Danio rerio: one gene and its partners. The protein of the gene in region 1 interacts with the protein of each later gene in a pairwise test. Links are inferred from orthologs where the notes say so. Each region holds a gene or a part of one and is shown in the gene's direction. Other genes may lie near its edges.

Region 1 (4,772 bases):
ATTATATTCCTTTAATGATGTATAATTATACAAATTTTAAAATTGAGTAATATCCTGACATTGTTTGAAAATCTGTTCCAGAATGTTGCATAATTTCACACCACAAACAGACATACACAAACTTTTTAAAGTTGTCCTTGTTTTCAACCTCCTATTATGTTTTTCTCTCAGATTATATCCCCCTTGTCTTTCTTCAAAAAACTTTTGTATGCATTTAGGAAGTATTTTATTCCCAGCTTTAAACATTAATTGTGCTGTTTTAAATTCAACCAAATCATTGAACTTAAGTATTTTCAATTTAAAAAAATAAAGGATTTGTATGCTCCAAATACCCCACATTTTCTATCAGTCTAATTACTTTTTTCTGCATTGTACATAAGGATTGTAAGTAAATATATATTATATTGGGGAATATATATATATATATATATATATATATATATATATATATATATATATATATATATATATATTGGGGTATATGTATTCCCCCAAATTTCCACACAATAGCTCATATATGGCAACATAAGTGTGTTATATAATATATACATTGATATATTGTCCAGTATAAATCTTGCTTTTTACACTATTGCTACAGTTTTTACTATTTTTGATATTACATTATTTATTTGCGGTTTCCGCAACTAATTTTATGATCCAATATAAAACCAACAAACATAATTGCATAATCTCTATACTTAAATACTTTATTATCAATTTGGAAATCTATATTATGTCTACTTTTTAATTTCCCAGATAACAAAACCTTTTGTTTTACTTATATTTAATGACAATTTGTTTACGTCAAACCACAATTTCAATTTATTAATTTGTTTTAATCAACTCCATAAATTTTGGTAAATTATGCCCAGAACAAAATGATACTTGTATCATCTGCAAATAAAATAAGCTTAAACAACTCTGAAATCTTACACATATTATTAATGTAAATTATAAACAATATTGGACCTAAAACTGATCTTTGTGGTATGCCACACTTTGCATTTAAATATGATGATTTATGGTTGCCAATTTCCACAAACTGTTGCCTATTTTTTAAATAACTAATTATCCAATCCAAGGCTACTCCTCTAATACCATACCATACCATCATTTAAAGATGTGACATAAAGACAAATAAACCACAACCTGTCCTGATAAGGGAAATTTTCAGAAATGACTCTAAAGGACCTTAAACTTATTACACAACTGTCAAGAAGACAACAGAAGGCATATAGTCAATTGTACACTAGAGTTATCCAACAAAGTTTTGATTACACTGACAATTTAGAACCCTTCAAATCTTCTTATCAAATATGATACAGCCTGCCCAGTAAGTTTAAAGTAGCCACTGAATGTCAGACTTAAAAACTGCACAGCAGTCGTCCATTTTCCACAGACACTGTCGTGGTCAGAGATGAAGAACAGCAAAAGGTAGAAGAAAGACAAGGGGAAAAAAGGGAGCAAGTATGAGGAGGGATTAAATGTGTGTGAGGATGGGGGTGGTGGAGGAGGAAGGGGCCACAGACAAAGTGCGAATGGGAGGAGGGTAGCAGGAGAAGGGGGCGGTGCTGGCGGCAAACAGCAGAGGACGGGACACAGAGGAAGGGGGTTTCTGCCAGAGAAAAGAGAGCAAACTTTGGCATGAGGAGGAGGAGCACGGAGAATGAGCATGTAGGAGAGAAGCAAAGTGATACAGAGAGGAGAAGCAGCAGAAGTACAGTGAACTGACTGGGATTGTACCTCCAGGACAGGCTGGGGAGACGCGAGGAGGCAGCCATGCAGAGCACTATGGGTATGTCAGCAACACCACTGGATTTATTGCAGCCTGCGAATGCACGAGAGTTCAGATTACCACTGCAGCTCACGGGAGCTTTGAAGTGATGTGAAATGAATGATTAACTTTCTTAAAGCTGATAGGGTTTGGGGTGAGAAGACGCTCTTTGAAGTTTTAGCAGCACTGTTAGTGCTTTCTGCTGTGCGAGAATGTTAATGATACTGTGTTATTTTGGGGGCTGAGTAAGTTGGGCTTTTGTTTTGATTTATCAGAGATACAAAGATACAATAGTGAACTCTGTTGTGCTTCATTTAAGTTTGTCACCAGATGTCTCCTTTAAAATGTTTGAAGTAATGAAGACAAAATTAAGACAGTAAGACTGTTACAAACGTTGGTATCTTGTCAAATATTGTGCTCTTTTCTGGTTCTCCAGAGAGAGACATGTGAGATTCCCACAGGAAAACCATATAAGCAGCATGAGGCGTAAACAAAAGTCTCAGTTTACTCTCATTTTAACATCACTGTCCTCTAGAAGACATAAATGAGACGTCTTTTGTGTTTTTTGTCACCTATAGGTATTTATATCTGCTGTAAAGAGTGTTTGTTGAGCTTGTTAAGTTTTTGTGGCTGGTTTGTTTGTTTGAAAGCAGGGCCTTGCGAGTGGATTGATTTACAGGAGTCAACTAAGCGGTTTGGTTTTGTTTTGTGGAGACCATTTTGTGGAAATTCAATGTTTTGAAACTACACTTCAGGTTCATATATACTAAAACATTTTTTACAATTCTTTTAGGAGTAAAAAAAATAGAACTTTAAATTCAAAATAGCTTGGCGCTATTTTTCCTCTTTCCTAAAATTTGTTGAAATTATTCAAACAAATGTACAGAAATCATCTGATAATACTGATGTGAAAGTGTCCCCAGTCAATCACAGCAAAGTTTATATAGAGAAAAGGTGTCAGTGTTGCTCATTAATATTTTCAGTATCTACAGTAACTTTCAGAACATCAGTATCTACTAGAGCTGGGTGATATTGCAAAACATATTATCACAATATCATGTTTCATATCATCTGATATTGACAATTATCTTACAAAATACATTTAGGAATATTAGATTTTTTTTTAAACCATTTTATTTTAATTTGCCAACATTACTAAGGCAAATATGTTCAATAGTCAAAAACAAAAATATTTAAACAAAATTTCTGATCTCTTTATAATAAAATAAATAAGTGTTAAAGAGACTCCTAAACTTGATGAATAAAATGCTACAAAGTGTGTGCAATGATAAAGGTAGAACAACATCTGTAAGATGTCAATAATAATGATGCAGTAAAACTCAAATTATTTAAATACATATTATAACAATACAAATTGTTAAATACTTAAATGGCTACATTACCCCTACGCTAAAACATGTCTCAGATGGGGAGCTAGTGGCTAGGATGCACAAGAAAAGAAACCAAAAAGCCACTCTGGCGACATCTTTACATCTTTTATTGTTTATAATCTCCTCAATGCTGCTATATGGCACTCATTTTCGCATGTGTTGTTATTCTAACCTTAAGTAACAAGTGCACGCGCATGGTTTCTGGAATTGGTTCCAATTGGAATCTGGAATGGTTGCAGAAAAACCATTGCTGCAACAAGTTTATGGAGAAAAGTAAAAAGCACTGCAGTGTTTGGCTGCGCTGTGTTTGTCTGAGGTAATTAGTCTGCCGTTATTACTGAAATGTGTATATTCCATACAAAGTGTGAGGCAGATTGGTTAATTCTACTAGCATGAATGGCGGTGTGCTCTCAGCATTCAGAAAAGTTCAAATGTTTTTAACTACTGTAGATGCGGCTCAAAAATGTGCACGGTTCACATGTGTATGTGTGCACCACCTGCACAACATGGGCGCGTCGCTCAAGTCGCGCGACTTCATTGGAAATGACAAACTTTCACCCTAAACTTATTGGCACTGTTTCCAAGGCACACGTTCATCAGCCACTTTTAATAAAACTATAGTGCTTTATACCGGAACTAAATAATTCTAAATCGTTTTTTTATCGATATTGACAATGGTGGTTCCGTCAATAAATATCGATATCAATTTTATCGCCCAGCCCTAGTATCCACTATAAAACTGCTCTTTAGTGCTTGATTTTACTTGTGTTTGTCTGACAATGATGGATTAAACAGAGGAAATTAAATTCAGAGTAGTGTTAAAGCCACACCTACCTAGGTGGGTTGAAGGTCTTTACCAGCTGATGCAAACTTCTGTACATGGGAACGTCTCCCATATACAAAATTACTGAAAACAACTTTTCAGTAAAGAGTTCCAAAAGGAATCATTTATGTGTGTGTGAAATGCCTTTACTGTACTGTTAAAAACCATTTCCGCTAAAAAGAACCTTATGTTGACGATGTAAACAATGTTTAATGGAAGCATCAATGCCAATGAATTGTCTTTTTGATCTACTTTTTAGATCTTTGGACTAAAAATATTTCTTCTATGGGATCACTGTGAAACTCTCTATTAGGCGACTTTATGTTTATTGCAAATATTTAGTATATTTTTGCTTTTTTGTGACCATAAATTAAAAAGTAACATGACTTCTCAAAAACTGGCCCAGATTGGAACGTCCGGTGTCCAGAATACACACATACACACTCCAATCACTCTTCGCTCAGTGCTTACATAAAGCTTCTTCAAACTAGTCAAACACCACTAAGCTTCTTGCACAGCATGATACCTGATCTATTGACATTTTGTTTTCGAATGGGATGAAGTTTTGAATGAACCCCCCCATCCCCCCACCACCCAAGTATATTAAGATTCCCGTTTGTGTTTAAAGTGGATGTGACTCAGCTCATGGCACATTCTTATACAGTAAAAGCCTGAAATAGAGTGGCCTGTTACTGCGTGTCAGCAGCGTCCAGACTCTGCTCCGGATGAGATCACCTAGGGGGGTGGAAAGGTGCTTGCGTCAGTGAGTCGGAAAATAATAGAT
Region 2 (4,925 bases), on another chromosome or scaffold:
AAAACATTTAAAGAAATAGTTTACTCAAGGTAAAAATGAACATCCTTTATACTCCATCATGTGGTTTTAAACTTTAAGTTTCTTTCTTTTGTAGAACACAAGATAATATATTTTAAGGTATGCTGGTAGCTTGTACTCATCCACATCCATCGTATGAAAAAAGTTAACAGGAATCAACATTTTTCATGTCAACTTTTGTGTTTAAAGCAGGGGTGCCCATATTCAGTCTTGGAGGGCCGGTGTCCTGCAAAGTTTAGTTCCAACCCCAATTAGACACACCTGAACTTGTTACTTAAGCTGTTTCTAGGTATACTAGAAACTTCCAGGCAGTGTGTTGAAGGAAGTTGGAGCTAAACTATGCAGGACACTGGCCCTACAGGACCGAGTTTGGGCAGCCCTGGTTTAAAGGAAGAAAGAAACTCAAAAAGGTTGAAAAGAGTAAATGATAGAATTTACAAATTTGGGTGAACTATTCCTTTAAACCAGAGGTGAGCAAACTGGGTCCTGGAGGGCCGGTGTCCTGCATAGTTTAGCTGCAACACTAATCAAACACACCTGAACATGCTAATCAGTGCCTTCAAGATCACTAAATCTATAAGCAGGTGTGTGTGATTAGAGTTGGAGCTAAACTGCCAAAACTGTAAGACTTGCTTTGTTAACCAAATAAGTATATCTGATTGGATTTGAATTGTAAACATTAAATAAAAGTAAAAAAAAAATATTATTTTTATTTTATATATTCAGTTTTTTGTTATGATACTCTCAAAATCATTCCGCATAAATGTGCTGATTTTTTTACACAATTCTCAGCAAAAATGTCTACAGATTCTGTCTGGCCATAACTATCGCTTTAAACACTGTGGTGCAAAATGCTTTATGCATGATGTCACCTCAAATATTTAATCAGAAAAATACTGCAGATATTCTGCATTTAAGTGATTTATATGAATTATTTATTGTGTTCAGTAGATCTCAAAAATGCAACTTACTCAGAATAAATTAGAATTTGAAATAATAGTTGTCTTGGAGCTACAGACAAGACCTTATCAAACCAACAGCAATAGAGTATATGCAGAAGTATGCTAAAGAACTTTTAATTTGCCTGTAACCTGGGTTAAGCGTTTCTGGGGAACTGTATGTCATTGCAAAATCGGTGCATATATTTTGCAATATATAAGGTCTGTTTTCTTTAAAAATCAGCGATATCCACTGGATGAGTAATATTCGATATAAAGTGGGTCTCAGATTGTACAAGAAGCACTGCATTAAATTACATTTTTTCCGCCATGTCTTCATAATATGAGCATTTATTTTACCCCAGTATATGCAATAAAGCTTCTGCGCTAGCCTGCTGATTCTAATGGACACGTACAAGTAAATGACTTTTTTTGTCTTGTTTTACGTTGGAGCAACTAAATGAATGTCAAAGTCTTTTTAACTGATTGTATTTTATTTACATTATAACATCAATGGTGTAAAAAGGAACCGTAAAAAATGGAAAAAAGTCACATTAACCGTTCACTGGAAGTTTATCAGTCTGGGAAAAAAACATTACCTCGGCATAATAACTTACTATAATGCAAATAGTTGTAATAAAATATGCTAACTATTTTTATACTTTATGCAGTTTTAGGTCTTTTTGGCTACTGCTCCGATCCAGCTACAAACCCACACTCACACATTTGGCCACTAGATCCAGGCCAGGCTCTGCCATATGGTAGGCCTAATGATGGATAATTTTTTATCATTAAATGAGCCATCCTAAGAATTTCTACATATAGAAATTATAATTACAATAATTATATTTACAGTATTTATTAACTATACACAAAATATTACAAATACATAATTTCATTTACACGGGGATCTTGTGGCCTGAAACCAAACCCTGAAACATGTGGGTCTGCGCGTCTGATGCTGCCTGCATGCTATTGGAATGTCGTCCACTAGTTGGCGCAAGTGTAGCCAAGTGACAGGTTAATGAGTCCATCATCTGCAGGTTTGGCGCTTCAGAAAGTGTTACCCTAAAACGCATGCACAATGTCAACAAACGGCAAGACCCCGAGAATACTACAGTTTGTGGCTCCAGATGAGCGTCGTCAGTTTGGAATTGAGGTAACAGTACATTAGCATGTGAGCTACTTAATAAAAAAGAAATGGATCAGTTTACAACAAAACGCGCTAGCAAACAACTCCATTTTCTTTAAATTATTTAAACATGCATGAACGTTCTGTTAAAAATCTATACAACGCACAAATGTCAAGTTCCAGAATGCACAAACGTGTAAATAGTGTTCCGTCATGTGTCGTTATGAAGGCCAGGGTTGGAGTTGGCAGAACATGATAATTCAGAACGCTGTCCTAAAATCATAGGCCTAGCCCTAAAACTTTCATTCATTCATTTATTCATTTCCTTCGTCTTAATTTTATATATATATATATATATATATATATATATATATATATATATATATATATATATATATATATATATATATATATATATATATATATTTGTTGTGAAGTTTGCGTGTTCTCCCCGTGTTTCCTCCGGGTGCTCCAGTTTCCCCCACAAGTCTTCAAACATGTGCTTAAAGTGAATTGGGTAAGATCGAGGTGTATGTGTGTAAATAAGTGTGAATGTTTGCCAGTAATGGGTTGCAGCTTGGAAGGGCATCCGCTGTGTAAAATATATGCTGGATAAGTTGGCAGTTCATTCCGCTGTAGTGACCCCTGATTAATAAAGGCACTAAGCTGAAAAGAAAATGAGTGAATGAAAGATTTTTTGCTGAGGGACATGGGTGCTTCTCTTTAAGATGCATTAAATTAGAAAATATTATTTAAAATGCATAAATTGTTGGTATTTGTAATCATTTCATTTTATTTTTTCCTCTTAGACCCCTTTTCAGCGTCTGGCTCCACAAATGCAAGACATATTAGGGGATGGAGGAGTCCTTAAAGAGGTCATCCATGAAGGAGAAGGGCCACCTGTATCAATGCATGCTTCAGTATCAAGTAAATTACGTTAAACATTGTTTCTCATTTATGACTTTCAAGTAGTATCAAGGCTCAACATTAAGAACTGCCTGATGGCCAGGGGCCAGCATGAGAGAAGCTAGGGACAATTGACAGAATTGTTACTGGCCCGATCAGTGCTGCCTCGCCATTAAAGTTTAATTTGCCTGCAACTATTTGTCAATTGCATGCAGATTTAAAATATAAAAATAATGTCTTAGAATCGATACAGTGCTTTTAAGACTTTAAATACCATTTTCTCTGTCATGTCTTAAACACAATATTACTTTTTGGTTCCTCATATCTGATTGGATGTTGTAAGCATGTTTTTTTTTTCCTTAACCTGGTAACAACCAGTATAGCAAAGAGACAGAAACATTGCTGCAACATCATATTATGAGGCTAAAAGAAAACGTCTGTATCTAACATACTGGAAGCAGACATTTACATGAGTACGACATGCCGTCAATTTGGCAACTCAGCCATCTTTTGTTAAATAATTTAGAACTGCAATAAAATACCTGCACATTTTCCATGGTGCTCTTTTTGTTTGCATAACACTTTAAATTTGACTCATTATACAGTTATTAACATTTTTTTTAAATATTTAAATTTTAGATTCTTAAGTTTTGACACATTATTTAAAATATGTAGCTAAGAAATAGGTAACTCATAGGTAAGTTAAGGTAACTCAAACTATTTGAGAAAACAGACAAACCATTTGAGTTAAAAAACTAATCTAAATGAGTACTGTGAACTTAATTAATTTCAGTAAATCAAGCAATTTAAGCACAGTAAAACCCGATAAATGAAGAGAACTCAAACTAACTGAGTACTAGTGAAACCATTTGAGTTAAAAAAAACGAATCTTTATGAGTACTTTGAACTTACTCCATTTAAGTTGAAGTAATGAGGTATTAGAATAGTTCAAAACGCCTTTCAAATGAGTAAAATGAACTTTAAATCAATTTTGAGTTATCTACACTACACTTTTTATTTATTTATTTATTTTATATTTTTTGTGGGGCCAGTGAAAATTTTGGCCAGTAGAAAGAAATCATTAGTGTTGAACCCTGAGTACCTACCTTTTTTCACACTACTGTGGTTTTATATTATGTAAAAGCGTAAATTAGTCTTATTTTCCATGCAAAGCATCGTTTGGCATAGGAAAAAAGTCAGTAGAAAAAAATTATTCCTAAAGTATTTAGCAGTTTGAAATATTGGGGCCTGTGAGACTAATAATGTTTTTGAAAAAATACTTTTTTTAAAAGACAATTTAAGTCCGTTAAGTCAAACTATTAAAATATATGCTGTAAGTGTATTAAATGCAAAGCTCTGTCATGAACTTTGAATGTGTCCCATTCAATCTGCTTGCATCCCTAATTATTTACATGGTGCAGGTGATAGGTTGCGGTCACCTCAGCAGCCAATGAGCTTAAACCTGTGGGTGTTTCTTAGCACTAGAGGTTGTGCTCTCATGACTGGGTTGATGGTTCATTTGATGGTTCATTCCTCTGTGGCGAGCCCTTATAAATCTGGGACTAAGCTAAAGTAGTGATGAGAACAGATTCTTTTTTCAAAAACTTTGTTATTTTCTTGAACTTTAAAATTGTACATCTTTTTGTAAACTCATATGTCACTTGTGATCGGTTTATTGTGCGCTTGCTGAAAAAAATGTATAATTTCTTTCTTACACTTTTTAATTGGTTGTGTCTGTACCTTTATATCATGTTCTCTTTGGTTTGTTAGCTACTCATTTCAAGACCTCATTTCATCCACAGTTAATTTCTCTGGTTTCATCGAGTACACTGACGCACCATTTGAGACAACCAACCACCTTAAATATCCACGAATGATGAAGCTTGGTAAAGGTAGGATGGGATTGTAACTCTCCCATTAGAATGGGTAGA
Region 3 (4,970 bases), on another chromosome or scaffold:
AAATCTTCTTAGATTGTTTAAGCGATGTATCAAGGAAAGACAAAAGGTTCTGATGCTCATTGTCATTTATGGATCACCACAAACACCTATCATCAAACACATTGGTTAGTCTGATCCAGTAATAGTAGATATTCTCCTCCTGCTTACTCTTGCGTTGTAACTGATGTATTATTATGTCCAACAGGGGGCGCAAGCGCTTTGTTAGTGAGGGTGATGGAGGAATTGTGAAAAGTTAGAAGATTCCGAAGAGCTCCAGCAGGATCTTGATGCTGAACAAGTTGGGATCTCCTGCACCTCCCTGGAAATCTTTCCTCAATGTCTTCATTGCTCATCCTCCAAGTTCACACAGAAATATTCAGCCTCAGAAATGAGATTGTCTTGATGAAGAGTGACAACTGAGAAATCTTCTCTCCTCTATTATGGGCTTGCCTTAGTTGTTTTTTGAGTTTATGTGCATTTATACAGTATGCAACATAAATGGAAAAGAAGTGAGGAAATCAGCAGCTTCAGAGGGCCGTGAAATACAGTTTGGGTTGAGGGATTAATTTTGCTTTATCTTTTTCAGCTTAAGTTGTTTTTTGTTGTGTTCTCTTGTTAGTGATGGCAGTGGTCGCTCATTCTTTTTTTGGCAGTGGACCTAATAAGGTATTAAATGAGTCAGGCTATTCAAATCAAGTACTTAATCAAACTGTTGGGCCAAAATGTAATGTTTTATGAAGCGATTGGGGTCACTTCTATTGGTTTGCATTTTATTTGCATGTTTATCTTCAAATGTTTCTTATAATTGCTTAAAGTAACCATACCCCCCACATTCACAGATTCAGAAGCTTCCAGCAGAATACTGCATACTTTTTTTTTTTTTTTCAAAAGGATTATCAAGGCTCGTTGGTGATTTAGGCCAAATGCAAGTCAAACAGTTCTGATTATTGTTTCTGGCAGATTTTTACATCATTAAGTGTCTTTGTAGGTGTTAGTTAAAGGACAGAGGAGAGAGAGCATCATCACCTCTCGCTCAGGCTGATGTCTGTGACTGTTCCCATGTTCATTACTGTCTAAAGTTTTCTACCCTCTCTGTTTGATGGTGAAGTTTAGAACAATCGTTTATTTCAGTCCTGGTGTTTATTTGGAGAAAAGCAGTTTAATTATGTCAGTACAGCTGAGCCAACATTTTCTGAAAATATCTTTGCATATCACTTTTTAAGTGGTATATTTTTCAGAAAATTACCAACTCTCACAATCAATACTTGTGGTTTCAATAATGGCATAATGGGAGGAAATTACTAAATTTAACCAAAAGTACTTTTGTACAAGCAATCTTTTTTGTATCATTTTGTTCATGGGTCACTTTTTCAAATACATTATTTTTGTCAAACAGCAGTTCCAGAGTTCCAGCATTGAATACATTTTGACACTAATAATTTCAATAAAAATTCATAATGCTCGCATCAGTGTTTCTTTGTTTTAACTAATGCACTGATTACATCTTTGGTTTTTCAAATGTTTCTAGTAAAAATTGATATTAAGATTAATAAATGCGTGTTCACAGTTGATTTTAACAAATGTTGTTAAATTATTTTAGTTAACAAACCTTATTGTAGGGAACTTTAGCATGTTGGCCGGTTTAAACTGGTTGACCAGCCTGGTTTTAGGAGGGGTTTTGGCCATTTTCAGGCTGGTTTCCAGGCATTTCTAGCCTGGTCTTAGTGGGTCAGGCTGGAAAATGACCAGCTAAAACCAACTTGACCAGCCTGGTTTAAGCTGGGCATAGCTGGTTTTGGCTGGGCTCCCAAGACGTCTTGCTTGGCTTGTTTCTAAAACCAGGCTGGTTGACCAACTAAAACCAGCCAACCATCATAGGCTGGTCTAAGCTGGATTCTTCAGCAGGGTAATTATATAAAATATCAGTAAATCCTAATTTTAAGAAGACATTAGGTTTTCAATGCAAATTTAGAAATCAAGAGATTTCAAGAGAAGCAAAGTTTCACACTCCAGACCAGTTGGTGGCACTGCTACAAAGTAATAGTCAAAAATCGACACAAGAATGAGAGCGTTGTGTTTACTGGACGTAAGTGTGTGTTCATTACCTTGGGTTTACTGGACGTAAGTGTGTGTTCATTACCTTGGGTTTAATTTGGACGTGTTTATCTTTTCTTTGATATAATTGTTGTAACTATATAGATTTAAGGCTGTATTAATAATTGTATCAGCGTAAAGTGGGATGCATCATATCTCGATTACAGTAACACCATAATCCTAGACATTTACTATCCTAATTGACTAGAAATTCATTTAGCCGAAAACCAGAATTTCATAGTTACAACGTTAACTGTGTAAGAGCTGTTGACATTTTTTTTGACAAAATGATCAGACTCATTAATAGTTCGACTAAACATTTATTACGCAACTACAAACATAAGCTTTGATGGCAGTTATCATTACATTACAGAAACAAATGTTAGGATACACGTTCAAGACACAATTGACAGAATCTAAGTAACGTAAAAAGACTGCCCTGTAAATTAATGGATGGTTACTTTTTAACTGATATGAAAATGACCTCTTTTTGTCTCCTCTTGATTTTAGTATCTTGGGCATGAGCTGCAGTCGTAGGATTTTTCATTTGTCTATTTAATAGCAAAGTGTTAAAGATGAACAACCCAGTCTACTTCACCAGAGCCAAACAAGAGGAGACGCTCTGGATAGAAAAAAAGAAAGAAGACAAGCAAACAATTTCTGGGGTTGAGGCCAGAGACTTTTACCAAAGCCTCTTACAAGAGAGAGATAGAGAAAGGCCAAGAGATGGAGAAGCAGCAGCAAGTAGAAGAGCAAAAAGACGAACAGGTAGAATTGTCAAATTACTATCTGATATTTGATTATGCACTGATGTATTTTAATTTAGTGTCTTTTAAAATTTTCTTAGTCACAACAACTTAAATTAACTGGATTTTTTGTATGACACAGTATTTCATTTTGCCACAAGTGTGTGCATTCGCAACTGATGACGCTGTGACTGAGTGTGGAAACAGTTTTTGTCTTTATTACATTCTACAGGACTTCTGTGGAAATCATGTGAGAGAAAGTATTCAAAGGTCAAAAACGTGAAAAGCAGCAGCCGGTTAGAACACGAGGGGCCCTTCCTGGGGCACATAAACAGCATGCAAAATGCTTGTGGGCAATAGAAAACAGTTTTAATACACTGCCTTAGACCACTAAAAAAAGTTTGTTGTCCAAAACATTAAGGGCTTAAGAGTAAAAGCCGTTGAAGTAAAATGACTTGGCACAAACGAAGTTAACTTTTATTATTCCAGAGTCGACTGCTTCTGGTTCTACTGGTCATGATCATGTGGGTATAAAAAACATTGCTGTTTTTTCAAATTAAAATTTTTATGTTTTTTTTTTTTTCTTAAAAACATTTTAAGATTCTGTTCTAAAGCTGCATTGTGCAGTGTAATAAAACACACACCATATTAAAACATCTTTGGTGCTTGGTGAAACCAAACTGGAAACTAAGGGTGTGTGAAACCATTAGCATGGCCACACAGGACATGTTCTGTGTCACTAGTTAAAAATGCTTATTTCTCTGGACTTTAACATACTTCTAAATGTTAGGGATATTGTTAGTACATAAGTCTGGAAAATTAATACATAACATTGTTCTAGTGGTTTTTGTATATATTTAAGAAAAAATCTTACATGTTGTGTCTTTTACATCAATGTGTAAATTGGTTAAACAAAAATCTAATTTTCAACTGCTACAGCATATTGTTACATTTATTCAATTGATAATGGTCAACTCAAATAAAAGAATCAGAAAAACTAAAAAAAATACCCTGTCCTCTGAGAGTAGATCACTCAGAATTGCAGTGTTTATAAAAAATTGCCTGGTGTGTATAGAGAGGAACAGCGAAAAAACATACGCTTTTCAAATGTATCATGATTAATAAAAATTTTACATCAAAACAAATTTGACAGAACATGCAAAATCTATATAAAATTGTAGTTTGTGTAGTACATATACAATTAGCCCCCCTGTTTATTGTTTTCACAGTTTCTGTTAAACCGAAAGAAGATTTTTTCAACACGTCTAAACATAATAGTTTTTATAACTCATCTCTAATAACTGTTTTTTTATATTTGCCATAATGACAGTAAATAATATTTTACTAGACATTTTCAAGACAGCTTAAACTGACATTTAAAGACTTAGCTAGGTTAATTATCTTAGGTTACAGGTTAGGGTAAATAGGCAAGTTATTGTATAACGATGGTTTGTTCTGTAGACTATCAAAAAAATTTGCTTAAAGGGGCTAATAAGTTTGTCCTTAAAATGATTATTTATTTCTTTATTTTTATTAAAACTGCTTTTATTCTAGCTAAAATAAAACAAATAAGACATCCTCTGAAAAGAAAAAAAACATCATCAGACATACTGTGAAAATTTCCTTGCTCTGTTAAACATCATTTGGGAAATATTTAAAAAAGAAAAATAAATTTAAAGGGGGCTAATAATTCTGACTTCAACTGTAAGTGTAGATTAACAATTGGTGTTTTTCCTCTTTGATACATTTAATCTCTGTCATTTATTTTCCTTAAAGTTTAGTTTAAAAAAATGACGTTTAAAACACTCATTGTTATACAGATTTATCATGATCTTCCAATATCTTTTGACACAAGAACCCAATCGAAGAAGAAGAGAAGCAAGAAGGCTAGAAGCTTCCACTGTGCAGCCAGTTTGCACGGAGCGTGATGGACACAAACTCCTGCAGTGCGCCCAGGAAGGCAACATTCGGGCCCTGAAAGACCTCTTACGACGTGGCTGTGATGTCAACTTCCGGGATGATTTTTTCTGGACAGGTGTGATGTGTGCGAGTCAGGCAGGACAAACAGAAGCCGTTCGGCTGCTCCTGGAGCATGGGGCCGCTTGGGTTGGAGTCGTGGACAAACAGGTACATAACATTTCCTCCTGAAAT

The links.
Region 2: the proteins of lzts2a (region 1) and fkbp6 interact in binary tests that used the Homo sapiens proteins (3 or more experiments, as listed by UniProt). The two-hybrid records come from large-scale screens. The link is inferred for Danio rerio from reciprocal best matches to the Homo sapiens genes LZTS2 and FKBP6.
Region 3: the proteins of lzts2a (region 1) and gpank1 interact in binary tests that used the Homo sapiens proteins (3 or more experiments, as listed by UniProt). The two-hybrid records come from large-scale screens. The link is inferred for Danio rerio from reciprocal best matches to the Homo sapiens genes LZTS2 and GPANK1.

What each region holds. Positions count from the first base shown.
Region 1 is NC_133188.1:20,794,568-20,799,339, reverse strand, and holds the start of lzts2a (leucine zipper putative tumor suppressor 2a), read left to right. Parts: upstream 1-1,633; 5' UTR 1,634-1,795; intron 1,796-4,772. UniProt on the Homo sapiens protein: Negative regulator of katanin-mediated microtubule severing and release from the centrosome. Required for central spindle formation and the completion of cytokinesis.
Region 2 is NC_133180.1:61,312,140-61,317,064, forward strand, and holds the start of fkbp6 (inactive peptidyl-prolyl cis-trans isomerase FKBP6), read left to right. Parts: upstream 1-1,961; 5' UTR 1,962-2,040; coding exon 2,041-2,115; intron 2,116-2,255; exon of another isoform or gene 2,256-2,333; intron 2,334-2,897; coding exon 2,898-3,015; intron 3,016-4,796; coding exon 4,797-4,886; intron 4,887-4,925. UniProt on the Homo sapiens protein: Has an essential role in spermatogenesis. It is required to repress transposable elements and prevent their mobilization, which is essential for the germline integrity.
Region 3 is NC_133176.1:27,689,513-27,694,482, reverse strand, and holds the start of gpank1 (G patch domain and ankyrin repeat-containing protein 1), read left to right. Parts: upstream 1-2,006; 5' UTR 2,007-2,065; exon of another isoform or gene 2,066-2,100; intron 2,101-2,583; 5' UTR 2,584-2,648; coding exon 2,649-2,841; intron 2,842-4,674; coding exon 4,675-4,946; intron 4,947-4,970.